Tamandua tetradactyla: one gene and its partners. The protein of the gene in region 3 purifies or fractionates together with the protein of the main gene of each other region. This does not show direct contact. Links are inferred from orthologs where the notes say so. Each region holds a gene or a part of one and is shown on either strand. Other genes may lie near its edges.

Region 1 (7,929 bases), on a different chromosome or scaffold from region 3:
ATTTTGATGCCTTGTATTTCTTTTTCTTGTCTAATTGCTCTGGCAAGAACTTCCAACACAATGTTGAATAACAGTGGTGATAGCGGACATCCTTGTCTTGGTCCTGATCTTAGGGGGAAAGTTTTCAGTTTTCCCCATTGAGGACGATATTAGCTGTGGGTTTTTCATATATTCCCTCTATTATTTTAAGGAAATTCCCTTGTATTCCTATGCTTTGAAGTGTTTTCAACAGGAAAGGATGTTGAATTTTGTCAAATGCCTTCTCTGCATCAATTGAGATGATCATGTGATTTTTCTGCCTTGATTTGTTGATACGGTGTATTACATTAATTGATTTTCTTATGTTGAACCATCCTTGCATACCTGGGATGAATCCTACTTGGTCATGATGTATAATTCTTTTAATATGTTGCTGGATTTGATTTGCTAGAATTTTGTTGAAGATTTTTGCATCTATATTCATTAGTTACTGTTTTAGTTACTCTTACTGATAATCTTTCTTTCTATGCTTTCCTCAAAATGTCTCTCTCCTATCTTTTCTTTTCAGCCTGAAGAACTCCCTTTAGTATTTTTTGTAGTGCAGGTCTCTTGTTTACAAACTCTCTCAGTTTGTTTTTATCTGTGAATATTTTAAACTCTCCCTCAAGGACAGTTTTGCTGGATAAAGAATCCTTAATTGCGTTTTTTTTCTTTCAGTATCTTAACGTATCATGCTGCTGCTTTCTCATCACCATAGTTTCTGATGAGAAATCAGAACCTGGTCTTATCGAGCATTCCTTTTATGTGATGAATCGCTTTTCTCTTGTTGCTTTCTGAATTCTCTCTTTGGCAATGGACAGTTTGATTAGTATGTGTCATGGGGTATCTCTGTTTGGATTATTGTTTGGAATATGTTGCTCTTCTTGGATATGTAGATTTATGTCTTTCATAGAAATTGGGAAGTTTTTGGCCATTATTTCCTCAAATGTTCTTTCTGTTCCTTCTCCTTTCCATTCTTCTTGGATAACCGAGAGGCATATATTTTTGCATTTTGCACTGTTTTTCAATTCATTGATAATCCCTACTCAAATTTTCCTGTTCTTTCCTTTATTTGTTCTTTTGTTGGATTTTGAATGTCCTGTCTTTTAGCTTGCTGATCCCTTCTTCTGCCTGTTCAAATCTGTTCTCATATGCCTCTAGTGAAGTTTTAATCCCATCTATTGCACCTCTCATTCCCATAATTTCTATTATGTTTCTTTTGGTACTTTCAAGTACTTCTTTATGCTCACCCAGTGTCTTCTTAATATCCTTTTTCTCTTTAGCCATATTTTCTTCATCTCCTTGAATTAATTTAAGAGGTTTCTTTTAACGTCTTTGATTAGTTGTTCCAAATTATATATCTCCTCTGACTTTTAAAATGTGTTCCTTTGCCTAGGCCAACTCTTTCTGTTTCTTGGTATGGCCTGTAATTTCTTGCTGATATCTGGGCATCTGATTATGTTGATAAGATTATTCTGAAGGTTGGTTTCTCTTTCTTGGCTAAGAATTTGTTGTTGACTGGGTTAGTGTTAAGGTAATTCTTTGCCAGTTATTTTGTCAGTATTTCACAGCCCATACAGGGTCAGGGACCCATACTAGGGACCCACTCCAGTTCCACAGTTCCCTGGGTAATGGCTCAGGAATGATGCCAAAAAAGCTCTTTATTCAGCTCTCCAAAGTTGTGCTTTACTGGCCTGCCCAGCAGATGACTCTTTCCAGCAACTATTCCTGCAACCCTAGGAAAACAAGGTATTTTGGGACCTCTTGATTCCACCTCTGACACTAGTCAAAACAATGGCACAGCATCACCTGTTTGGGATGGACTAAAGCAATGGGACCCAGCTGTCTAAATTCATGAGGCAATAGCTGCATCAGTACTGAGCCATGTCCCCTTTTGTTGTTTGGGAAGAGGACTTCTGCAGCCATCCTATTCTGCAGCAGCCTACTAGGTAGGAATCAGGCTGACTCAATGCTCCTGGCTTAAACTGTGTGGGCTGGGCACCAGAAGCCATGGCAGCCTGAGTTACTCACAGTTTTCATAACTTTCTCTCTCTCAGTAGGACCCTTTGATGAGGTCACTTCAGTTAAGGTATAGCCCAACTCAATCTGGATGGATCTTAATCCTATCACTAGAGCCCTTTATAAGGACAGTGAAATTCAAACAGTTAGAGAATAAGCCACTGGAGGCAAGAAGCTGAAGGTCAGTGTAACCCAGAAGAGAAGGGAGAGGCCAGGAGAGGCCACCATGTGCACTGCCATGTGGCAGAGGAGTCCAGGACCAAGAATCACTTGGCAGCAGCCAAGCTCAGAACCCCATAATCTCCAGGGAGAAAGCTTCACCTTCACTATGCCTTGATTTGGGCTTTTTCCTAGTCTCAAAACCATGAGCTAATAAATTCCTATTGCTTAAGCCAACCCATCGCATGGTATTTGCTTAAGAAGCCAAGAAAACTTAAAACTCCCAGCAATTCCACTGCTAGGTACTTACTCTAAAGAACTGAAATCATGGACTTGAAGCGAGAATTGTACATCAATGTTTATCATGGTGTTATTCACAATGGCCAAAATGTGGAACAAACCTAAATGTCCATCAGCAGATGAATGGATAAACAAAATGTGGCATATCCATACAGTGGAATCTTTTTCTGTCATTAGTATAAATGAAGTGCTGATGCATACTACATAACATGGATGAACCTTGAAGACATGTTGAGCGAAATAAGCCAGACACAGACGGGCAAATCTAGCATGATTTCTCTGATATGAAATTCTTACAATATTTAAATTCATAGAGACAGAAAGCAAGGCAGTGGTTACTTGTGTGGTGGTGATGGAGGATGGGGAGTTATTGCTAAATGAGAAGGAGTTTTTGTCTGGGATGACCAAAATAGTCTGGAGACAGATAGTGGTGGAACTTACAAACTGTTGTCAAAGAATTGTCCATTTAAAATGTTTAAAATGATTGTTATATTATTATATGGCCACAATTGTGTATATTACCACAATTTTTTTAAACCTTTTTTTTTTTTAAAAAAAGGATACTAAGTGACAAAGATGGGATTTGAACTCAGGCAGGCTGGTGCCCACATCCCCCTAAAGAATACCTGTATGTCTGCTACTTAACTTTATCAGTCCTAAGTGTTTTGCCACAGTTGAAGCTCCCATACATACTTTCCTCACCTCATTCCCACCCACTTTTCCTATAGGTAATCTCTATCCTGATTGATGTTTATCATTTCCATGAATTTCTTTATGATTTTTTAAAGGTGTGCATATCCATATATAATATATAATATTGTCTTGTGTATTTTTGAACTTTATTTAAATGATAGCACACAGTGTTATAGTTATGGGACATTTAATTGCTTCCCTGGTTCTTGTACACATTTGAATTTGTGACCCAATATATTTAGTCACTGTATAATGAAGGAATTTGGAGTCAGAACACCTGACTTAAACAGCCATTTAACGGGTGGCCCATGATGGCAGAGTTCTCATGTGCCATGCCAAAGACCTGGGTTCATTTCCCAGTGCCTGCCCATGTGAAAAAAAAAAAGCCATTTAACAACCCAGGCACAAAATTTAAGTAGACAGCCTCCTTACCTGTAAAAAGGTAATGGCGAGTTCAACCTGATAGATTGATTGATTTGTGAACATCCAATGCAAAAAGTGGTGTAAATCTTTCGTAAAATACTGACTGTGTTGGACAAATGCTGATTAAGGATACCAGCTCATTCTTGGACCTAGCCTTTATTAATGCTGGCTCGCCAATCATTTCACAGGGTAAGCTATGCCCCTTCCCACCCCAGTCAGCTAATGTGCAGGCAAAGCAAGAACACAAAACACTTTGGAGGAGGTGGGGTGTGGTGCCTTCACCCTGCTAGGCAGGCCGATGGGGAATGCAGTTAGGACTGCCCTGGCTCTTGGTTAAAATATTTAATGACAGCTGTTGGGAATTGTGTCACACCCTACTATGTTTATTTTTATTTATAAGAGTCCACCTCGTTTTATTCGTTACTGAGAGGCACAAATTCCTCTTAGACTCATCTGATTTCACTTGAGCTGCTTCTGATACCAATCAAACCCGGGGATCTCTGCCCGAGGTGCCTCACAGCCGATCTATGACACTGGGTTTCAAAGGGAGAAAGAGTTTACTGCAAAGCGAAGCCAGGAGAACAGATATGGCCCGTGGGCCCAGACTCTCTCTCCCCTTCCAAGGAGTCAAACAGTGTTTTGATGGATTCACCCAAGGGGAGGTGGAGTTACTATTACGATTTACAAATGTAAAGGAGTGGAACCAGGCTGGACCTAAGCTAGACTAACCATTACCATAACAAGTATGAACCCCGCAGTTAGTTCAGGGCTGCCTCAAGTTTCTTCCTTAACATCAGGGGGTTGTCTTTGTGATAAGTGTCTAAATTTGTAAAACAGGGTAAGGGGTTACAGCAGGGCCAGTCAAGAGGTTTTTACAGTTCGAAATTTAGTGGATTTCAGTAACTGACTATTCTACAACATACCAGAAGGTAAGAAAAAGGCGTCTGTATAACGATTCAGTCATCATTTTTTGTTAAATCTTAATATCTCGGTTAGATTCCTACTGAGGTGCCTTTTGTCCAACCCAACCCATTTTAAGCCGTCAATAAAACCTGCTGTTTAGCATGCGGATGTTATTATTGCTCAAAAAATAAAGAACCCGTGTCATTCTACCACGCCGGGTAGGCGGGGTAAGGAGGGCGCTCTGATTTTTACGCAGGCACCGCGCTGGGCGCCCGCGCGCTTGGGGGCGGAGCCGCCGGTGGACCCGATGGACCCCGGCGGGGCTGCCATTTTGGCGCCTTCCCTGAGGCGCTCCTACCGGCCTCTGGTGCCGCCGCCGCTGCCGCCGTTAGCGGCGGCTCTGTGTGCCAGGATGAACGTGATAGACCACGTCCGGGACATGGCAGCCGCGGGACTGCACTCCAACGTGCGGCTCCTCAGCAGCTTGCTACTTACAATGAGTAACAACAACCCGTGAGTCGAGGCGGGGAGTGGTCTGGGGCTGAGGAGAAAGCGGCGCGGGTTTGGGAGCCGGGGCTGCGGGGGTCTGGGGTCGGGCGGGACGGATGGGGACCGCGGGCCCCGATCGAGGGTGCAGGGTCAGCGAGGGCCTCGTCGCACGGAGCCGGCTGCGGGGCGCGAGCTGTTTACTAGGCGCCTGCGTTGCGCCCGGCTTTGGGATGTTGCGAGCGGCGGCGGCTCGGAGGATGGGAGGCAGGAGGTGCTGAGAACCTCTTGAGGGTCCGGCGCCCCAGACCTTGGGCGCCGGAGTTTTCCAAGGCACCTGGCGCTGAGCGGAGCGGCTGTCGCGTCGCTGGATTGAATCCCCCTCTCCCGGCTCCTTCACAGAAAATGTTTTCCCTCTCTCGCCGCAGCTCAGATTGGCCCAGCCTCCCGGATTGTATACACTCGCTCCCAAGTAAGATGGATGTATTCCCTCGGGTGTATCTGGAGGGTCCACTTTGTCGCCTCGGCATGCCCCCGAATACGGAACACTCCCTGGGTGGGTGGGCGTGGCGCCTCTTTGACTTGCACGAGATGCCATAGCCTGGCCCTTTCCGGGTTTTCCGAGCTTCCTTTTGTGGAATCTCAGTAAGGAAGAACCAAAGGTCCAGAGAGTCTTTCTCTGACCACCAGCGTAACCTCTGCTGTATCTCATTGCCCTGTTTTATTTTCTGCATGGCTTTTACCGCCTAATGAAGTTATTTATTTCATTTGCATCTGCCTCTCCTGCTAGACAGCAAGGACCATGAGGACAGGTGCCTCATCCGTTTTGTTCACTGCTATAGTCCCCATCACCCAACAGGGTGCCTGGGGGGCAGTGATCGCATACATGTTTATTGTACGTCATAAGAAGTGGGTTCAACCTAGTACCTTGTCGAATTTCACACATCTGGAAAGTGGAGGAGCCAGGACTGGACCTTGGGCCCCTCTGACTCTAGAGTCTATCTGTTCTGACCCACCCCAGACTAAAAGGCATTGTACTGAATCTTCTGTGCAGTGTGGATTCCCTGCAGTTGGCATGCTCCAGAAGCTGTTTAGGTCAGCAAGGAAAGGCCCTAAGTGCATGCAGTGCAGACACTGCTCCCCATTTCATTCCCGTTAGTGTAATTTGGACCTCACTATGTGAGACTCATAATTTTGCCAGCCGCTTAGAGTTGACAGTGAGGAGGCCTGGTCTCTGTCAGGCTTCTGTGTTTATTTTGGAGCCTTTCATTTGGTTTCCAGTGATTTTCCAAGGCATTTGGTTTCACCATTGAGGATTTATGCAACATTCCGTCAATACTCTAAGTTCTTAAAGATGTTACAGGATACTCTGAAGCAGTTTGGTCCTCTGGCTAGACTAAGTTTACATAGCCCAGGCTGTGTGTCATACTGGGGACCAATAGTTTTCTAGTTTCAGGAGGTGTTTTAGGTTCTGACCTTTATCATTTGCATTTTAAATTAACTTATTGAATATGTAATACACATACTGCTAAAAAAATTTTTTTTAAAAGATACAAATAGTGCAGAAGGGATTTGCAGGTAATTGTCTGTCCCTGAACCATTTCCCTTCTCTAGAGGCAACAGCAATTGAGTTTCTCATGTATTAGTCTAGAGATAATCTCTGCATGTATATGTAGGCATGTATGTTACATTATATAAAAATCTAAATGAAATTCTTGTATGTAGTAATATTTTGTTCTTTATCCGAGGTCTTTATTTTTCACTAAATATATAGAATCTCAGAGTTAGTTAAGTCATCTGGTCTGTACTTTTTGGTCCGTGAATTTCCTTTGTAACTTTCTTTTTTTATTAATTTTTTATTTTTTTATTATGATCATTCCATTCTACATATATAGTCAGTAATTCATAATATCATCACATAGTTACACATTCATCATCATGATCATTTCTTAGAATATTTGCATCAGTTCAGAAAAAGAAATAAAAAGACAACAGAAAAAAATTCATACATACCATACTCCTTACCCCTCCCTTTCATTCATCACTAGTATTTCAAACTAAATTTATTTTAACATTTGTTCCCCCTAATTATTTTTATTCCATATGTTCTACTTGTCTGTTGACAAGGTAGATAAAAGGAGCATCAGGCACAAGGTTTTCACAATCACACAGTCACATTGTGAAAGCTCTATCATTATACAATCATCATCAAGAAACATGGCTACTGGAACACAGCTCTACATTTTCAGGCAGTTCCCTCTCCAGCCTCTCCATTACATCTTGACTAACAAGGTGATATCTGTTTAATGCGTAAGAATAACCTCTCTAGACTCTGTTTGGAATCTCTCAGCCATTGACAGTTTATTTTGTCTCATTTCACTCTTTCCTCTTTTGGTTAAGAAGGTTTTCTCAATCCCTTAATGCTGAGTTCCAGCTCCTTCTAGGATTTCTGTCCCACGTTGCCGGGAAGGTCCACACCCCTGGGAGTCATGTCCCACGTACACAGGGGAAGGGTGGTGAGTTTGCTTGTTCTGTTGGCTGGATAGAGAGGCCACATCTGAGCAGCAAAAGAGGTTCTCTTGGGGGGTGACTGTTAGACCTAATTTTAAGTAGGCTTGATCTATCCTTTGTGGGGTTAAGTTTCATATGAACAAGCCCCAAGATTGGGGGCTCAGCCTTTTGCTTTGGCTGTCCACACTGCTTGTGAGAATATCAAGAATTCAACTTGGGAAAGTTGAATTTTCCCCCTTTCTCACCATTCCTTTGAAAATACTTTTTATATTCACTGTTCAAATCACTCTGAGATTTATGGGGCATCGCTCTGGACAAACCAGCAAAATCTCATGCCCTACTCAAGGTTCCATGTAGTTATGGTGTTCATTTAAGCTGTCTACATAAGTTATATTAGGAAATGCACTAGTCAAAATA
Region 2 (8,067 bases), on a different chromosome or scaffold from region 3:
CCAGAAGGGGCTGGGGTGAACATGGCCCTACCCTCCTTCTCTTTTCCGAGTCTCCGGGAGGCCCCCTGAAAGGCTTGGGGTGAATGCTGTGGTGCTCGTCCCACACGCTGACCCATCACTCTCTCCCTCCCTGGCAAGATTACAGGGGGCAGGGGACCCTGTACCAGGATCTCACATTTCCTGGCCCCAGGGGGCCTTTCAACCTTCCCAGAAAAGAAGACTTGATGTGGCCTCTTTCCAGTTAGTTTTCCCTGGGACAGAGGGAGCTGCTACCTGGGGAGGAGGTAGGGCCACTCTGTCTACCTATGGGGGGCGGTTCATCTACATGGAAGAGCCGCTTCATCTGAGTAACACAGCCACTTGCCTCGGATACTTGGTGAATAACTGAACACAAGGATGACTCACACAGCACTAGTTTAGCTTGGGCGTCAAAGGAGGTCTTTTATAAACCGGAACACCTCTGGGCAGGACTGTGTACTCCCAAGGCCCTCTGCGGTGGGGGCAAGTCTCCTACCCCTTAGTCACTCTGGGTTTATAACAGGAGCTCGATGCTGGCAAGAGGAATTGCTGCCACTTTTCACATACAGGAGTCCCCTTAGACTTGTCATGGCACAAATTGAGACCCTGTGTCCATCATCCTCCATAGCCAATGGGCCCCATTTGCAAACTACTGGGCCCACGCAAAGGTAGAGCCACTGTAGTTCTCAGAACAGCGCCCTGTCTGGATGTGCAGGGCACAGGAGCAGCCAGCTGGGGTTCAGGATGGGCCTGCAGGCTCTATACAGGTGACTGCCACCACTGTGTTTGGGGCACAGGCTGCCCAGGCCTGCTGGAGCTTGCACCAGTACCAGCACAATCCACACCCTCGGGCACCACCAGCACATTTATGAAAGCTAAGCAGCCTACTGCCTTGGAAGTTCTAAGCTCTTGCCTCTTAAACTTCCAGAATCTTTGCTGTACCCTCTGAAGGGCAATTTAAGAAAGTTTAAATATAGCTAGACCACTTTCAGTTTAGTTGTTAGACGTTTGCTGTGATGTAGACTCAATCATCTCTTGATTGATGTAATCATTTGATGTAAATAAGATGTAGTGATAAGATCTCCCTTCAGCTAGGGCAGATAGGATCAAAGATAGGATAAAGTGATATTTGTACTAAATTCATTCATCTGACTGTCATTTTAAGAAGTAAAGCTCTATGATGTTTCTGGGCTCTTGATCGGCCCCAGAACAGGTTTGGTCACTGGTGGGGCAGTGAGGAGGGACTGCCAGCCCTATACACTCCTTTTTCCTTTCAGGGTCCTTGTCCTCCCTGGCCAAAGCCCTGAGCCTTGTTTCTGCTTGCTGTTCCTTTTGATCTGACTAGCATGTAAATTTGCTGGTGTGAAAATCTGCTCTTGCCCTAAACCTAATCAAATATTTTCTCTTTACAGAATTTAATGGAACAAACCAAAAGACATTACAAAGAAAAATCCAATAAAGTAGATTCTGCAAGCAACATGCCCTGTTTTTAAGTTTAAATGAATTGAAGAATGGTGTGGGGTTGAGAAAGGATTGCTCTACATTTATACTTGAAAATACTTCAGCAAAGATGTTAAAAGACACTTCATCTTATGAGTGATTTTTCTATAAACTTACAACTTCTCTAATAAAAAAAGCCAACAAACCACATACCTACAAATGGCAAGTTTTATAATATAAGTTAAAACTCAATAAATCTGACTTTAAAATAGAAATAAAGGCTATTCATTGTTAATTCCCTGGCGTGGGTGGGAGGGGGAGGGGATAAGGGGGTGTTCCTTATGCTATTTTACCTTTTTTGCTAGTTTGTTTGAAATTTTCAAACTAAAAAGTCTTAGATCTGTTTTTGTCTTGTGTGTCTCATTGCTGAGTTTGATTACAATAAAATGCTGCACTGGCTTTTCTTATAAAACTTTTTTGCCTCGATCTTTATAAAAACATGGGCCCAAACTGCTTGCCTTTTTTTCCTGTCACCTTTTCTTCAGGAAAACAAAATTAAAACCCAGGGATTTTACCCAGGTACTTTCAGGAAACGACAATGTCAGGCAAGTAGGCTCAAACAGCACTGCCAAGAGGGAGGCACTCACAGTCGGGACAGCAGCCGTTGAAGGCCATCCGGCAGATGCCGCAGTTCTCGTCATTGGCCACCCAGAGCCAAGTGGCCACGCCGTTCCAGCACTTGATCTTCACCTTCATGGCTGTGATGGGAAGAGGGTTACCTTGGTGAATCCGGTCTACAGAGCTAGAACACTAAGGCTCCCAGGGCGTGCTTCTCCCAGCCAAGAGGGCCCGCGCTGCAGGGGAGCAGCCACCGGCCAAGGCCAAGGGGAGCGGAGTGCCTGGCTTTGCACCCGGGGTTTCTTAAAGGTTCCTTTAGCCGTGTCTTTAGGGGCCCAGAGGGAAAGAAAGCCCTGAAAAGGGGCCTCAGCTCGCGCTGGCAAGGAGGGCATCAGACTTGGGACCACGGCTTTGGAGAGTTTGGCTTTGCCTCGCGTTTACGGTAACTACGGAGACCTGGACATTCACGAAAGGGCTGCTGCTTTCCTTAACGCCCTGTAAACAGGTCACACGACACTTCCAAAAAGGACACAACTAACAAACAAATGACCGTGGCTAACTTGGGGGATGGAGCCCCAAACCGCGCACGCTGTGAGATTTTTAACTCTCGAAAAGGCACAAACAGACGCATGAGTCTGTACCCCCGACCCCCATACCTGCCCGGGGCAACCGCTAGGCCCTGAAAGACGAATCGCTGGAGACGGTCGGCCGGGCGGTCCCGTGAGAAACGGCGGGGAAACAAGCCGCGGTGCCCGCCGGGCATCCGGCTCAGGACGCGACCGAGAGCGCGGAGAGCTCGGGGGCGTCCCAGGGGCCCCGCCCCCAGCCCGAGGGACGGGCACGTCAGGCCCCGCCCCCAACGGCCCCCGCCCAACCCAGGACGCCCTCGCCCCTTCCCTAACCTAATCCTACGCAACGCGGCCCCGCCCGTCGGCCGTTGTGGCGCCAGCGTCCGCGCGGGAAGGTATAAAAACGACAGCAGCCGCAGCCCAGCACCAGTCGGGCTGAGGTCGCCGAGCTGTGCGCCTCGCTGCGCACGCGCCTCCCCGCCTCGCGCGACTAGCCGCTCGCCGTCAGCCAATCGACAGCGGCTCCGGGGCCGCGACTCCGGAAGTCCCCGCGCGGCGAAGGAAGTGACGCCCCGGCGTGCTGACGCGCGCGCTCGAACCGAGGCCCGATTCCGCGCCCGCCATGGCCGACAAAATGGATATGTCTCTGGACGACATCATTAAGCTGAACCGGAGCCAGCGAGGCGGCCGCGGCGGGGGCCGGGGCCGCGGTCGGGCCGGCTCCCAGGGCGGCCGCGGCGGCGGAGCGCAGGCCGCCGCGCGCGTGAATCGAGGCGGCGGGTCCATCCGGAACCGGCCGGCCATCGCCCGCGGCGCAGCTGGCGGCGGCGGCAGGAACCGGCCGGCGCCCTACAGCAGGGTGAGTGGACGCGAAGGCCACTGGGGTTGCGGGGCGCGGAGTGCGCTGAGGCCCGGCCCGGCAGGCCGCGGGAGCGCCGAGTGGAGAGGGCTGGCCCCGAGGCCTGGCAGCTGGTCCCGAAGCCGGCGGGTGTGGTAGACGCCGGGGAGGTCGCGCGGCCTGGGGTTGGCCCCGGGAGGCTCAGACCTTCTCAGCCTCTTTGTCTCATCCGGGCGCTGCAACCTCATGGCGGCTGGGAGCGGAGGGAACGCTGGGCGCGGCCGCACCGGCGGCGGGAAGTTAGTTGAAGGGAACCTGAGAAGTTGCGCGGAAGCGGCGGGACCGTCGGGGTCTCGGGCCGGGGCAGGGAGGGAAGGGCCAGAGGCCCCTTCTCGGCGATTTCTCCCAGGGCCCGGTTGAGGAAGGGAGCAGGATCTTGGGATGAGCCCTGAGGGCAAGGAAAAGCCCTAGAGTGAGACTCACCGGTCTTTTTCTGTTCTATGGGGTTTTCTCTTTCAGCCAAAACAGCTTCCCGATAAGTGGCAACACGATCTGTTCGACAGCGGCTTTGGAGGAGGTGCCGGCGTGGAGACCGGTGGGAAACTGCTGGTGTCAAATCTGGATTTTGGAGTATCAGACGCTGATATTCAGGTAAGAAACGGAAGCGTCTCCGTGAGTAGTTCACCTTGCACAGAACTAATCGTGTTTGTCATGGGCCCTGAATCCTGTTCCCGCCTTAGGAAAGGAAGCCCTCCCAGCTGCCCCAGAAATAGCCACTGCTTCCGTGTAAGGGGCTGCAGGAGAGACCCTGCCCAGCAGTGGTCAGGAAAAGTTGAAAGTTGAATAAGTGAATCAGTGTTTGTTAGAAGATAAGACCTTAGTGTATTAGTTTTTGCAAAAACGTGTTTTTGGTGTCTGAAAATCCCCTGCAGAGCTTTCTACTTCTGGCTGCTTGCTTTCCTTGTTTTGTTGCTGTTTTAATGATCTATTGGGAGAAGAATCCACACACACACACACACACACACACACACGTTTTAACTAACAAAGTACAGAAGTAGGGTCTTAGTGGTTTTTCAGCTCTGTTGGCCTTGAGGCTTTCTATCAAGTATGACTTGTGGCCCAGTGGTACCACCCCCACCCCGTCCCCTGCCGCTCCCCCCAGGTTTTGTCAGTGGTTTGGTTCTAAGCTCATCTTTGGTTGAAGACTGGTTTTTGTTTTTGTTTTTTGTTTTTTATTGAACCTAAAGGAATTTAAACTTGTTTTTCTGGTAAAGAAACAGTTTCTTGGGGATCAGTCTTGGAGATGGCTGGGTCAGGGTGCTGGGCCTTCCTGGGTTGCATCTCCCAGAGCATGGCCATTGGGCTTTGCCGTGGGAGGACGGAGCAAGGCCGGTGAGCACTCACAGTGTCTCAACACTTTTTTTAAGGTGGTTTCTGGCAGCCACTGGAAACCGCTTTTGGTGACTCCACTTCCCGCTGTGTGCCTGCGGCCGGAGTAGCCCCACACTCTGGGTTCCCTCTCCAACTCCCAGCCTGCCTGAGGTCAGGGCAGTTTCCATGGCAGCGCTTGACTTCAGACTTTGCGGCAGGCTTGAGTAGGAGGAGAGGGAAAGGTGAGCCAGAATCTGCCTTCGGGGGAGGGACTGGGGTTAGGGCTCCCAAATCAAGGGGCCCTTCAAGCTGTCCTGGAATGTTGGGCAGCTTCCCTTGCTGTGTGATCTAGGCCTTCGCTGTTTCTTGGAACAGTTCTTGGGAGAGTTGTAAATTTTCTTTTGTCAAAAAGGAGAGCGGCTTAATTTTGTGCCCTTCACTTGTGGGTTCCTGCAACTTCCTTTCCCTGCATCGAGTTATAGATTTCAAGTCCCTCAGTTGGCAGGAGCCCTCAGACCCAGGTGCTTTGGAAGTTGCTGTCCTACCCACCCCATCCCTTCCCCCAGTTCCCACTGCCCTGCCCCTGTGTACATGGCTGCCTCCCAGGGAAACACCCCCAAAGCAGATTTCACTTCCAGGGACCATCCCTGGGACACTAAAGGGAAACAGCTCTGCTTACGAGTCTGCTCTTTCCAATTCCCAGGAACTCTTTGCTGAATTTGGAACTCTGAAAAAGGCTGCTGTGCACTACGACCGATCTGGCCGGAGTTTAGGAACAGCAGATGTGCACTTTGAACGGAAGGCTGACGCTCTGAAGGCTATGAAACAATACAACGGTGTCCCTTTAGATGGTGAGTTTGGGTTTGGACCAGTATGGCTGCAGGGTTGTACACGAAGGGTAGAGTTTGGGGGTGGCACTTGTCCACGCAGGGATATGGCTGAGCTCTGTGGCCAGGGACGCTTTGCATTTGCCCCTTTGTCTCTTCCATTCTACTGCCTTGCATGCTGTCCCTTACATCTGGACATCCGGAAGTTCTGGGAAGCCTTCTCAGAACTGCCATAGTAAACTTCTGAATGCAGGTTGTAGTCTAGAGACAGAGGTACCATTTTCCTCGTCAGAACCCTCTTCCTCCCACCTAGACTGGGCTGAGAGCAAAGAGGAGGCCTTGGGGGGGTTGTTTTTATTGCCTTTTTGTTCCCCTACCAGTATTTCCAGGTCATTCCCTTGTTGGAAGTGTTTGACACAGCACAAGAACCCTTTGCAGTGCTTGCATGAAGACCAGGTAGGGCACCCTCAGATTAGGCATGACCTCTATCTGGCAACTGTGCTCTTTGTTTGCTGTAGGCCGCCCCATGAACATTCAACTCGTCACATCACAGATTGACACGCAGCGGAGACCTGCACAGAGGTGAGTTCTGGGGCCCATGGAGCAGTGGGGGTAGGCCTATGGCATATGGTGGTGTCCATCCTTGGGGCCTGACCGAGTGTGAGCAACTCCTCTGTTCCTCGTCAGTGTAAACAGAGGCGGAATGACGCGAAGCCGTGGCTCTGGAGGTTTCGGAGGTGTCGGTGGCCCTCGGAGAGGCACCCGCGGAGGCAGCCGGGGAAGAGGCAGAGGAGCTGGCAGGAGTTCAAAACAGCAGCTTTCTGCGGAGGAGTTGGATGCCCAGTTGGATGCTTATAATGCCCGAGTAAGTCCAGGGGTGTGTGTACAGGGAGGGAGCAGCCCAAGCGAGGCTGGGAAATGGGGACTGCTTCCCAGTGACAACCTCTCCTGTTCTGTTTCAGATGGACACCAGCTGAGCAGACCCCAAGTCCGTGCGTGGAGCAGGCCCCGACGGCTCATCCGCATGCCCCGGAGTGGGGGGCGGAGGGCTGTGTGCAGCCATGGATTTGTTTCTTTTATGTTTTAAAGTAGGATTTAAAGCTCATGTAAAGGTTGTTGTTTTTTGTTTGTTTTTTTTTCCTTTTCTTTTTTTTTTAAATTCTGAAACAGACCTGTTTTGTACTGAGTTATTTTTGGGATAAATTTTACTGGTTGCTGTTGTGGAGAAGGTGGCGTTTTCACCTTTGCCATAATAATAAAATGGAAATGTGTGTAGAGCTGGAATGGTTTTGTTGTGCCGTTGTTGGGTGCTCCCCTGGGCCAGAGGCCCGGGGTCTGCCCGGGTGGGGTGGGGTGGAGCTGGGTGGGGAGAGGCAATCCTATCTGACATTTTGGCACCTTGGCCTGGGGGTTAGAGTTTGTGCTCCAGGAGAATTTTATCTTGACACTCTCCTGTTTCTGCTCCTGCTGTTCTTAAGTCCTCTCTAACTCAGTGGGTGGGAGGACCCAGAGCAGTAGCAGTCCTTTACCTGGAGTTACCTGTCATTGCACCTGCACCTAGAGGTGAGGGCATGGGACAGGGGGCAGAGCACCTGTGTTTTCCACAGATTTCAGGGCACTAGGGTGGACCTTTCTTTTTCCTTGTGTTTGTGTCCTCAAACCTGAATTCACCATCCTAACCTCATAATGTCCGATTGTGTTCCCTGCTGTTTTCTGCATTGCTGCGGTGCAAGGTATAAGGGTGTTCCTTCTCTTAATCGTGTTTTTGGTAAGGTGGTCGCTGGGAAGCTCATGGAAGCTGTGGCAGAATCGAAAATCAAATTTGACCAACAGAACAGTGACAGGGCGTCAGGCACCTGTGATGTGTGGTCTCAACAGGCAGGACCCCTTGGCAACCCAGGTGGAGCAGAGCCTGCTGTGGCCCTTGTTGAGCAGGGGGACCCAGAGGGCAGGACATCCTATGGAGGCCACCCAGGGGTCTCTTTCTGGAACTTCACCTCCTCCCTCTGCGGGACATTGCCCAGTGGAGGGCCCAAAGGCAGGTGAAGAGCGGGACACGCAGAAAGCCATTGGCTGTGAGGAAGACCTGAGGTAGAGGGAAGAGAATGCAACTCCTAAGTCATGTTCCTTCTGATAGCTGGGACATCCCCATCTCCTAGGGGGAATCAGAGAACGGAATTGCAAGCAGTCAGCAAGACATGGCTCCCGAAGCTCACCCAGCATGCACTCCGGCTGCCACCTAGTGAGGCTACTGCCACACCCTGCTGCAGGGCGGGCTTCCAGAACCAGTGTGTCATATGGGAAGGAGGGTATTTGAGTAACGGTGAACTTTTGCCCTGAGTTGCCTGCACCCTTGCCGCAGAGCCACCACCTGCCACTCGACCCA
Region 3 (8,026 bases):
AGGGAGGGGTGCCAGGAGCCAGGAGGGTGCCTCGAGGAAGGTACAGCCCCCGTTGACCTTGCTCCTGACATGGAGCTGCTTGACTGGGAGGGGCCGTGCCCCAGAGATCAGAGCAGTATTCCCAGGGCCAGCCAGCTACCATCCTGACCCTGGTGACAGTGGCAGGGCAGGGCCGGGCCGGCTAGTGGCTGTGAACCCCCAGGAAGGGGGATGTGGGAGCTCCTGGCTTGGGGTCTGCAAGTTCCTAGGCGTGGCCGTAGACTTGTGGGCACTCTGACCTGGGGGCTGCCTACGGCCTCTGGTATCCCAGCCGGTGGGGGGAGTGGGGACAGGGAGGCTCTGGACGCTGGGTCCTGGCTGGAGCCTGGCCCCTGGGAGGGGTGGGTCTCCTGAGGAGCCCAAAGGGGAGGCCCTGGTTAGGCCACTTGCCGCATGTCCTGAGCCTGCCCGGAGGGGCTGTTGTCACTGGGTCAGCCTCCTGCCTGAGAGCCCCTGCATGGGACTCCATCGGCCCCAGGCCTTTGTGGGCAGGAGGAGCCCCAGGTCTGGATGCGGGCCATGCTGACGTGAGCTCTCTGCCCCCAGATGAAGATTTCCTTCAATGACAAGAGCCTCCAGACCACGTTTGAGTATCCTTCTGAGAGCTCCCTGGTGCAGGAGGAAGAGGCAGACAGGGACGGGGAGGGGCAGCAGGAAGAGGAGGAGGACGAACAGGAGGAGCCATGCTCCGAGGGGGCTGCGGAGAGGCCCTTTGGGCTCTTTCTGCCCCGGGCCAAGTTCGTGAACAGCGTGGGCCCCGAGGGCGCTTGGCTGCCCGACAGCAGCTCAGGTGAGTGCCCCCCGAGGGCCCTGCCCAGGGCCGTGTGCCTGGGCTGCATGTCCACACAAGTGGCCTCCCCACAGGCCTGTCCAGCTACACTCCAAAGCATTCCGTGGCCTTCAGCAAGTGGCCTGAGCAGATGCCAGAGCCAGCTCTGAGTGAAGGGGAGCCGCTCCCAAAGGAGATCATGGTGAGTAGGGGGCCGTCAGGCAGCGAGGGTGTTTCTGGGGCCTGGATGAGTCCCAGGACACCCACTTGTCCATCTCTTTGGCAGCTCACACCCGCCAGTCAGAGTGACCTCTCGGACTTCCGCAGCGAGCCAGCCCTGTACTTCTGACATCTGCACAGCCAAGACGGGCAGGCCAAGCCCCTGAGGTGCCCCATGGGCCAGGCCACGCCTCACTGCCCCACAATACCCCACCTCCCGTTCTGGGCTGCAGGACATGCCAGGACGGAAAGACAGGGCCTGACTGGGTGTCATTCTCTGTGGGTGGGCTCCAAAGTACAGCAGAGTGGGCACTGCCCAAGGGGGAGGGCCAGGAGTCCTGCAGGACAGTGGCCCTGTTTGGAACAAGGCAGGAGCCTACTAAGCCCGGGCTCCCCGCCCCCACCAACTGCCCACCTCCCCTAGCCGAGTCTGTTCTGTCTGACGAATGGACCCAATAAACAGCACTGGACAAGGCTGCCTCTCTTCTCTGGATGGTCTGCTGCCTGGCCTAAAAGCTGCGGGACGTGGCGGGGGAGTGGTAGAGGGCAGGGCTGGGATCTTTGAAGTGCTGTTGCTGGAGGAAGAGGCCAGAGAACAGCAAGGAGTCTACGTGCCCAGACCCTCACCCCTATCCCCAAACCCAGGTCTCCCCTCCCTCACGCCTTTGCCTGGGGTGGGGTGGGGGTGGGCACCTGTCCTGTGTGCTACTCTGGGGGTCAGAGGCCCTGGAGGCCCTTTGGGGAAGCAGCCCACTCCCATCCGGCAGCCTCTCCCAGGGCTGGCTAAGACCTGAGCTCTGGAATTCTGTGATGGGGCTGAGACCTCAGATGCATGTGGTGGGTGCTGGATGGGATGCATAAGAACAGCTCCCTCATGGGTTCAGAGCAAAGAGCTGGGGAGGACCTGAGGACCAAGACAAGGCTGAGTGGGTGCTGCAGAGGGCAAGAGCATGCTAGGGCCTCAGGAATCTCCTCTCACCTGGGCTTGGGGGGGTGAAGCAGGCAGGCAGGCAAACTCAGTGGATTCTGACAGGTGCTGGGGGGAGCCAGGGCTGCCTGCTCTAGATGGGGAGCTTTGCTGGGCTGGTGGCCCCTTAAACATCCTCTCAGCTGTGCATGTGCCTGCTGAGTTGCAGCCATTTACAAATCCATAGACAAATCCTGCTCAGGCTTTGGGTATGAATGTTCATGCCTTTTCAGGAGTCAAACCCAGGAGAAAGGTCATCAGTCCAGGCTTGGGAAGGAGAGATGGTTTTGCCATGTTCTCAGAATCAGTGGGGCCAGCTTTCTTGCGACCTTTTTGGTCAACATACACTTCCAAATCTGCCCAGTCCCCCAGGCCCTTGGTTGCTGCAGCCTCATGAGGCTGTTACACGACTACATGGGGGCATGGAGGAGCCTCATACTAGAGGCCAGGTCCCTTCACATGGAAGAAAAGTGGGTGGCACCCAGTATGTGGTGATGGGGGATGATGTCAGACTCTGGCAGAAGCTTGAGTATAGGGTCCAGAGGCACCTGTGCCTGGTTAGGGGCTGACGTGCAATTGTTTGGCCGTTACAACTTCAAACAAGTTGCAAAGTCTCGCTATAGATACCAGGTCTAAAAGCACTGGGCAGGGTGAGCCACAGTGGCTCAGCAGGCAGAATTCTCACCTGCCATGCTAGAGACTTGGGTTTGATTGCCAGTGCCTACCCGTGCTAAAAAAGAAAAAAAGCACTGGGCAGTAATCAGAGACCTCACAGAACTACTCCAGTGTGCTAGGGTTGAGGGGGAGGACATGTGGCCCTACATGGGGCAGCAGGGACTGGGGCTGATCTGGGCAGGGTGGGCAAAAGTGGGTCTGGTCTGCACCCCTGAGGTGAGAGGATCCTATGATGGGAAAGCCACTCCAGGCTCTCCTCTTGGTAAAACCTACACACAACCCAGGACATGAACAGTAGGCTGATACCCAACTTTGCAAAGAAAACCTTTATTCACAGTTGCTGGGCATAAGGTCTGAGCTCTAAAATCTGGGTTCTGAAGCCCTGGCACCCTCCCACACTGGCCTGGTTGGGGCCTCTGTTGGCTGAGGAGGGCAAGGGGAAGACTCCTGGGGCTCTGGGACTAGACCCTGGGCTCCTCAGCAGTTCAAGAAGGTGAAGGCCTCAGAGAGGGCCCCATGCAGAGCCACCTGGAGCCCTCCCTGCAGCTCGCCATGAGCTTAAGCCAGGCCCTCCCCATCTGCATGGGCAGCTCGTGGGCATTCTTTCCATCCAGGGCAATGGAGGGCGGCAGTTACTGCTGCCAAGGGCAGACACTTTGTGAACAGATCTCCTGGGGGCCATGTCGGCGTGGGGCGGGAGGCAGGCCACCAGTGGCCTCATCAACTATCCTTGCCTCCACTGCTCTTCTGGTCTGATGCTGTGGCCTTGGTCAGATTCCCAGCTTCTCTCTTCAGGATGCTAAGCAGAGTCTGTGAGCTCTCCAGGATCTGAGGCCAGAAGAACAAAAGGTTTGTCACTGCTCCTCAGAGTAGGAAGGTTCCGCAGCCCACCTCACACTCACGGCAAGCAGCATACCAACCCAGAGGTGCTGCAGGGGACGCGCGCTGGCAGGGGGGCAGGCAGAGCCACCGGGATAAAGCTCCTGAGGGCCAGGCACGTCCTGTGTCCGGCCCAAAGCTTGTTCTTCCCCAGCCTGCAGAGCCAGGCAGACTTAGTTTTGACTGCAGCTGTACTCTGGAAGTTCTGTCCCTTGCACTGAACAAAACGGACTGAGTAATAAGTATGGAGCCAAGAACAGGGCCACAACACTGCGGCTCCATACTGGTCCAGGTGCCCCAGTCCCAGAGGCTCCCTGCCCATAGCTGTGTGCTCCTGATGCTCTGCCCCAGAGTCCAAGCGACAGGAACTGAAGCTGCTGCTGGTGGGAACCCCAAGCCACACTTCTCCAGAACGTCCAAGGCTTGCCAGTATCAGCCCTCAGCCCAGCCTGCAGCCCCCTGGGTCCCCCCCCTCCCCCCGGAGCCCCACCTTGAGATAGGCAGCCTCTGTCTCTGCGATGGTCCGGTCAAACTCGTTGCGAGAGGCAATCTTGCGGGCCAGGTTCTCGTTGACCCGGGCTAGTTTCTCAGTCAGCTGCCTCACCTCATTCTGCAGCCGCTGCTTCTCCTCCTCCTCCTGCTGGATCTGCCGGCACAACTCTTCCCGTTTCTGGCACAGCTCCTCGATGCCTAGAGCAGGGGTGGGAAGGAGGCACTGGTGGGGGCTCAGGGTAGGAAGTCACTCGATCCCCCAAACTCGAGAGCCCATCCTTCCAAATTGTGGTGGGTGGAAGGCTAGTCTAAAGTGAGGCCTGGCGGCATCATCGTCCCTCCAAGTAAGGTCCAAGGAACTTCCTAGCAGGGTTTCGGGGTTAAACAAGTCACTGCACAAAGAGCTGTGGACGGCGTGCCTAGGAGCCAGTAAGCGCTCCAGGCACTCCTCTATTTTACTCACTAAACAGGCCCACCGGTCCCAACCGCGTTCATCAGCTTAAATCCAACGGCGACTCTGATCTAAGAAGGCCCCCGCGTCAGCCCCGGCCCAGGCCCGCTCCACCGGCCAGACACCCAGGACGGAGGATACCGGGGGCTCGCCCAAAGCTAAAGCCGCCACGCACCCCACCCACGAGGGCCCTCGCCTCCCCCGCCCGGCACCGGCGGGACACCCAGGCGGGCGGGGCCGCAGGACGGGCGCTCACACTTGACCAGCTCGTTGTTGTAGTTCTGCAGCGCCGCTCCCTGCTGGGTCATGGTCGTCGCACGCCGCCCGATTCCCCGCCAAGTCAACTGCCGCTACCGCCGCCAAGGCCGGCGCCCGCCAGTGTGACGGACGTCGCACCCCCTCCCGAGCGTCATCGCCGCGCGCCGCGCCTGTCCGAGCGTCATCGCCGCGCGCCCCCTCCCGAGCGTCATCGCCGCGCGCCCCCTCCCGAGCGTCATCGCCGCGCGCCGCGCAGGGCCGACCTGGAGCCGGTGGACGCAGATGGCTGCGACAGGGGAGGAGACGGCCTGCGAACCCGGGCCTGGACCGGAGCTGTTGGTGGCCTGGGACACCATGAGCGTCGGGCTAGTGCCACCGGCGGCGCTGGGCTTGGTGAGGCTCGGGAACACACTCACGGGCCCACCTGGGGTTCCTGGGAACCTGTCGCTCTCTAGGGCTTCCAGCCTCGCCCACCGCCGTCCTCCCTCCTTCCCCCACAGTTCTGCCGCGTTCGGCGCCCTTGGCAGCCCATGCCTGGCGACTGCCGGACATCCGTGCGCTGCCGACAAGGGGCGGCGGGGTTTCCACAGCCTTTCCCCGCTCCGCTCCCTTCCCCGCTTCTCCCCTGCCGCTGCCGCCCTTCCCCGCTTTTCGCCTTGTTCCTCTTTTCGCGGTTTTCTGCACTTTAGGCGTCCTCCCGGACCAGCGGTGCGGTCCCGCCGAAGGAAGAGGAGCTCCGGGCGGCGGTGGAGGTGCTAAGGGGCCACGGTTTGCACTCGGTTCTGGAGGAGTGGTTCGTAGAAGTGCTGCAGAACGACCTGCAGGCCAACATCTCTCCGGAGTTCTGGAATGCCGTCTCCCAACGCGAGAACTCTGCCGACGAGCCCCAGTGCCTTTTGCTGCTTCTTGACGCTTTCGGCCTGCTGGAGAGCCGCCTGCACCCCTACCTAAGGAGCCTCGAACTCCTGGAGAAATGGACTCGCCTGGGTCTGCTGATGGGCACTGGTGCTCAGGGGCTACGGGAAAAGGTCCACACCATGGTGCGGGGTGTCCTCTTTTTTTCCACTCCTAGAACCTTTCAGGATATGATTCAGCGCCTCTATGGGCGCTACCTGCGAGTCTATATGCAGAGTAAAAGGAAGGGGGAAGGAGGCACAGACCCGGAACTGGAGGGGGAGTTGGACAGCCGCTATGCCCGCCGCCGATACTACCGGCTTCTGCAGAGCCCGCTGTGTGCTGGGTGCGGCAGTGATAAGCAGCAGTGCTGGTGCCGCCAGGCTCTAGAGCAGTTCCAGCAGCTCAGCCAAGTCCTGTGAGTACCCCTGGGATGGCTGTATCCTCCCCCGGTCCTCCTGAGTCCACATTATTTCTTTGATAGGTCTCTGCAGAGAGCTGATTGAGGGCTCTACCTGCTTTCCTGGCATCTCTGGGCAGTAAGATACACCTTTTCTTCTGGACCCAGAGGTGTGTCTTTCACACTGCTCACACTCAACCCAATACCGGATGTCTTCTCCACTACCACCCCACATGGCTCTTATCTGCAGGAGCCCAAACTTCCTGCGTTGCCCAGAATTCTCCTTGGCCAGTTGTAAGCTCTGTAAAGGAGGAACAGTGTTTGTATTCATGGGAGTACCTAGTTTTTACTGCAGTGGCTGTGAACAGCAGACTGGCTATTTCCTTTTGTGGGGAGATTGGACCAGCATGACAGGCAAGCGGACTTCTTTCCCTGTACTTTGAGAGAAGAGTACTTTTTTTTTTGTTAGAGCCAGATCCTATTACATGAGCCCTCTAGCAACTGTCTCGGTCTCCCCGGCCTGCCTGTGGTGATATTGTCACGTTGAGTGAAGTGGCAGCACTGCAACCGTTTGGGAGATAGCATCTCAGCTGGACCAAGGGAGGAGGCCCTGAAGGGTGTAAATGCTCTTTCTCATCTTCCCTTTGGGCCACCTGTCACTTAGATCAGGGTCTGCACTGAAAAGTACTTAGGTTCACCTGGCAGGGTACTGTTGGCTGCTGTTCCAGAGGCACTCCTAGTAAATGAAGCTTGGCCCCAGGAGCCACACTTACTGCTGCTGGATAGAGGATGCTGTCTGGGTGGGGTGTGCAGCTGCTTCCCAGGGTTCTGCCTTCCCAGCAGCTTTTCCTTGAAGCCCTTGGTACAACTGCCCTTTGAGGCGGCAGTGGGAGCTCTCCCTGCATGGGTGGCAGGTGTGCACTGTGCTCCACATGCGGGGCCGTCCTGGGTTCCCGGGCCAGACATGCGCCAAGTATACCCACTACTCTGCCTTCCAGACACAGGCTCAGTTTGTTGGAACGGGTCAGTGCGGAGGCAGTGACCAGCACTCTGCATCAGGTGACACGGGAAAGGATGGAGGATCGCTGCCGGGGCGAGTACGAGCGCTCATTCCTGCGGGAGTTTCACAAGGTGAGGTGCCCATTGTCCGTGCCTCCACCAGGACTGGCCCTGCCAGAAAGCACTTCATTGGCCACTGAAACCCATCCCTCTTGCCAGGTAGAGGCCAGATCTTCTGGGTCTGTTCTGGTGACAGTGTCCAAGGTCTACGCAGAGCTGCATGGCAGGGGCAGTGCCAAGGGCAGGAGTGGGGAATCCACTTGCTTCTTGACCTTGCTGCCTCCTCTTTGTGGGCTCCACTTCCATCCCTGACAAGGCCCCTACGACCAGCCTGCATGCCTCCATGGGCTGAGCGTTCCTTGCAGGGCAGGGAAGGAGAGCAGAGTCACTGCGGGGGCGGGGTCTGGGGCAGAATGGCGTGGTGGCAAGGTCACCCTTTGCTGAGGGAGGCAGAGCCTTGGTGTCCGCTGTCTGCTCGTAGGCCTGCAGCTTGCCCCAGGGCGCCCTCAGTCCACAGAGGAGCTGGGCTCCTAGTGTGTGGACCTGTTTGCTTCTCGCCGTTCCCAAGGTCCCTGTGGCACACAGTGTTAAAAGTGTTGTCTCCAGAGCTCCAGCCTAGAGTGGGCATGAGCACCAGCAGCCAGCAGAATGAGCGCACTGTTCCCAGGTGGAGAGAACATGGCCTAGGAGGTGGCAGCCTTGTGCATGGGATGGTCTGTGGGCCATGTCCTCATGCCAGTGAACATGTACACTGGTGGTTTGCATCATGCTGTGTCATGTACTGGTCCCATGTCTAATCCCATGTGTGTGGCTGTGTTCACATGGAGGGGGATATGCCTCCCACACAACCCATGTGTCTGTCATTCATGTACCCTGCATTAGGGTCACTGCTGCCTGAGTCAGAGGTAGGGCACTGCAGGGTTC

What was found.
Region 1: the proteins of ANAPC2 (region 3) and ANAPC7 fractionate together in Homo sapiens (co-fractionation; 6 studies listed by BioGRID and IntAct, with this or other methods). This does not show direct contact. The link is inferred for Tamandua tetradactyla from reciprocal best matches to the Homo sapiens genes ANAPC2 and ANAPC7.
Region 2: the proteins of ANAPC2 (region 3) and ANAPC11 purify together in Homo sapiens (affinity purification with western blotting; 7 studies listed by BioGRID and IntAct, with this or other methods). This does not show direct contact. The link is inferred for Tamandua tetradactyla from reciprocal best matches to the Homo sapiens genes ANAPC2 and ANAPC11.

The regions. Positions count from the first base shown.
Region 1 is NC_135331.1:11,114,520-11,122,448, reverse strand, and holds the start of ANAPC7 (anaphase-promoting complex subunit 7), read left to right. Parts: upstream 1-4,816; 5' UTR 4,817-4,822; coding exon 4,823-5,028; intron 5,029-7,929. UniProt on the Homo sapiens protein: Component of the anaphase promoting complex/cyclosome (APC/C), a cell cycle-regulated E3 ubiquitin ligase that controls progression through mitosis and the G1 phase of the cell cycle.
Region 2 is NC_135332.1:74,073,275-74,081,341, reverse strand, and holds the start of ANAPC11 (anaphase-promoting complex subunit 11), read right to left. Parts: upstream 3,114-8,067; 5' UTR 2,979-3,113; intron 2,924-2,978; exon of another isoform or gene 2,733-2,923; intron 2,217-2,732; 5' UTR 2,215-2,216; coding exon 2,106-2,214; intron 1-2,105. Other genes in the region: ALYREF (THO complex subunit 4), read left to right, coding at 3,268-3,504, 4,003-4,134, 5,558-5,705, 6,200-6,263, 6,369-6,546, 6,644-6,658. UniProt on the Homo sapiens protein: Together with the cullin protein ANAPC2, constitutes the catalytic component of the anaphase promoting complex/cyclosome (APC/C), a cell cycle-regulated E3 ubiquitin ligase that controls progression through mitosis and the G1 phase of the cell cycle.
Region 3 is NC_135328.1:130,759,938-130,767,963, forward strand, and holds the start of ANAPC2 (anaphase-promoting complex subunit 2), read left to right. Parts: upstream 1-4,988; 5' UTR 4,989-5,031; coding exon 5,032-5,142; intron 5,143-5,438; coding exon 5,439-6,061; intron 6,062-7,041; coding exon 7,042-7,174; intron 7,175-8,026. Other genes in the region: TPRN (taperin), read left to right, coding at 586-829, 904-1,010, 1,095-1,157; microtubule nucleation factor SSNA1, read right to left, coding at 3,390-3,497, 3,590-3,703, 4,039-4,238, 4,748-4,799. UniProt on the Homo sapiens protein: Together with the RING-H2 protein ANAPC11, constitutes the catalytic component of the anaphase promoting complex/cyclosome (APC/C), a cell cycle-regulated E3 ubiquitin ligase that controls progression through mitosis and the G1 phase of the cell cycle.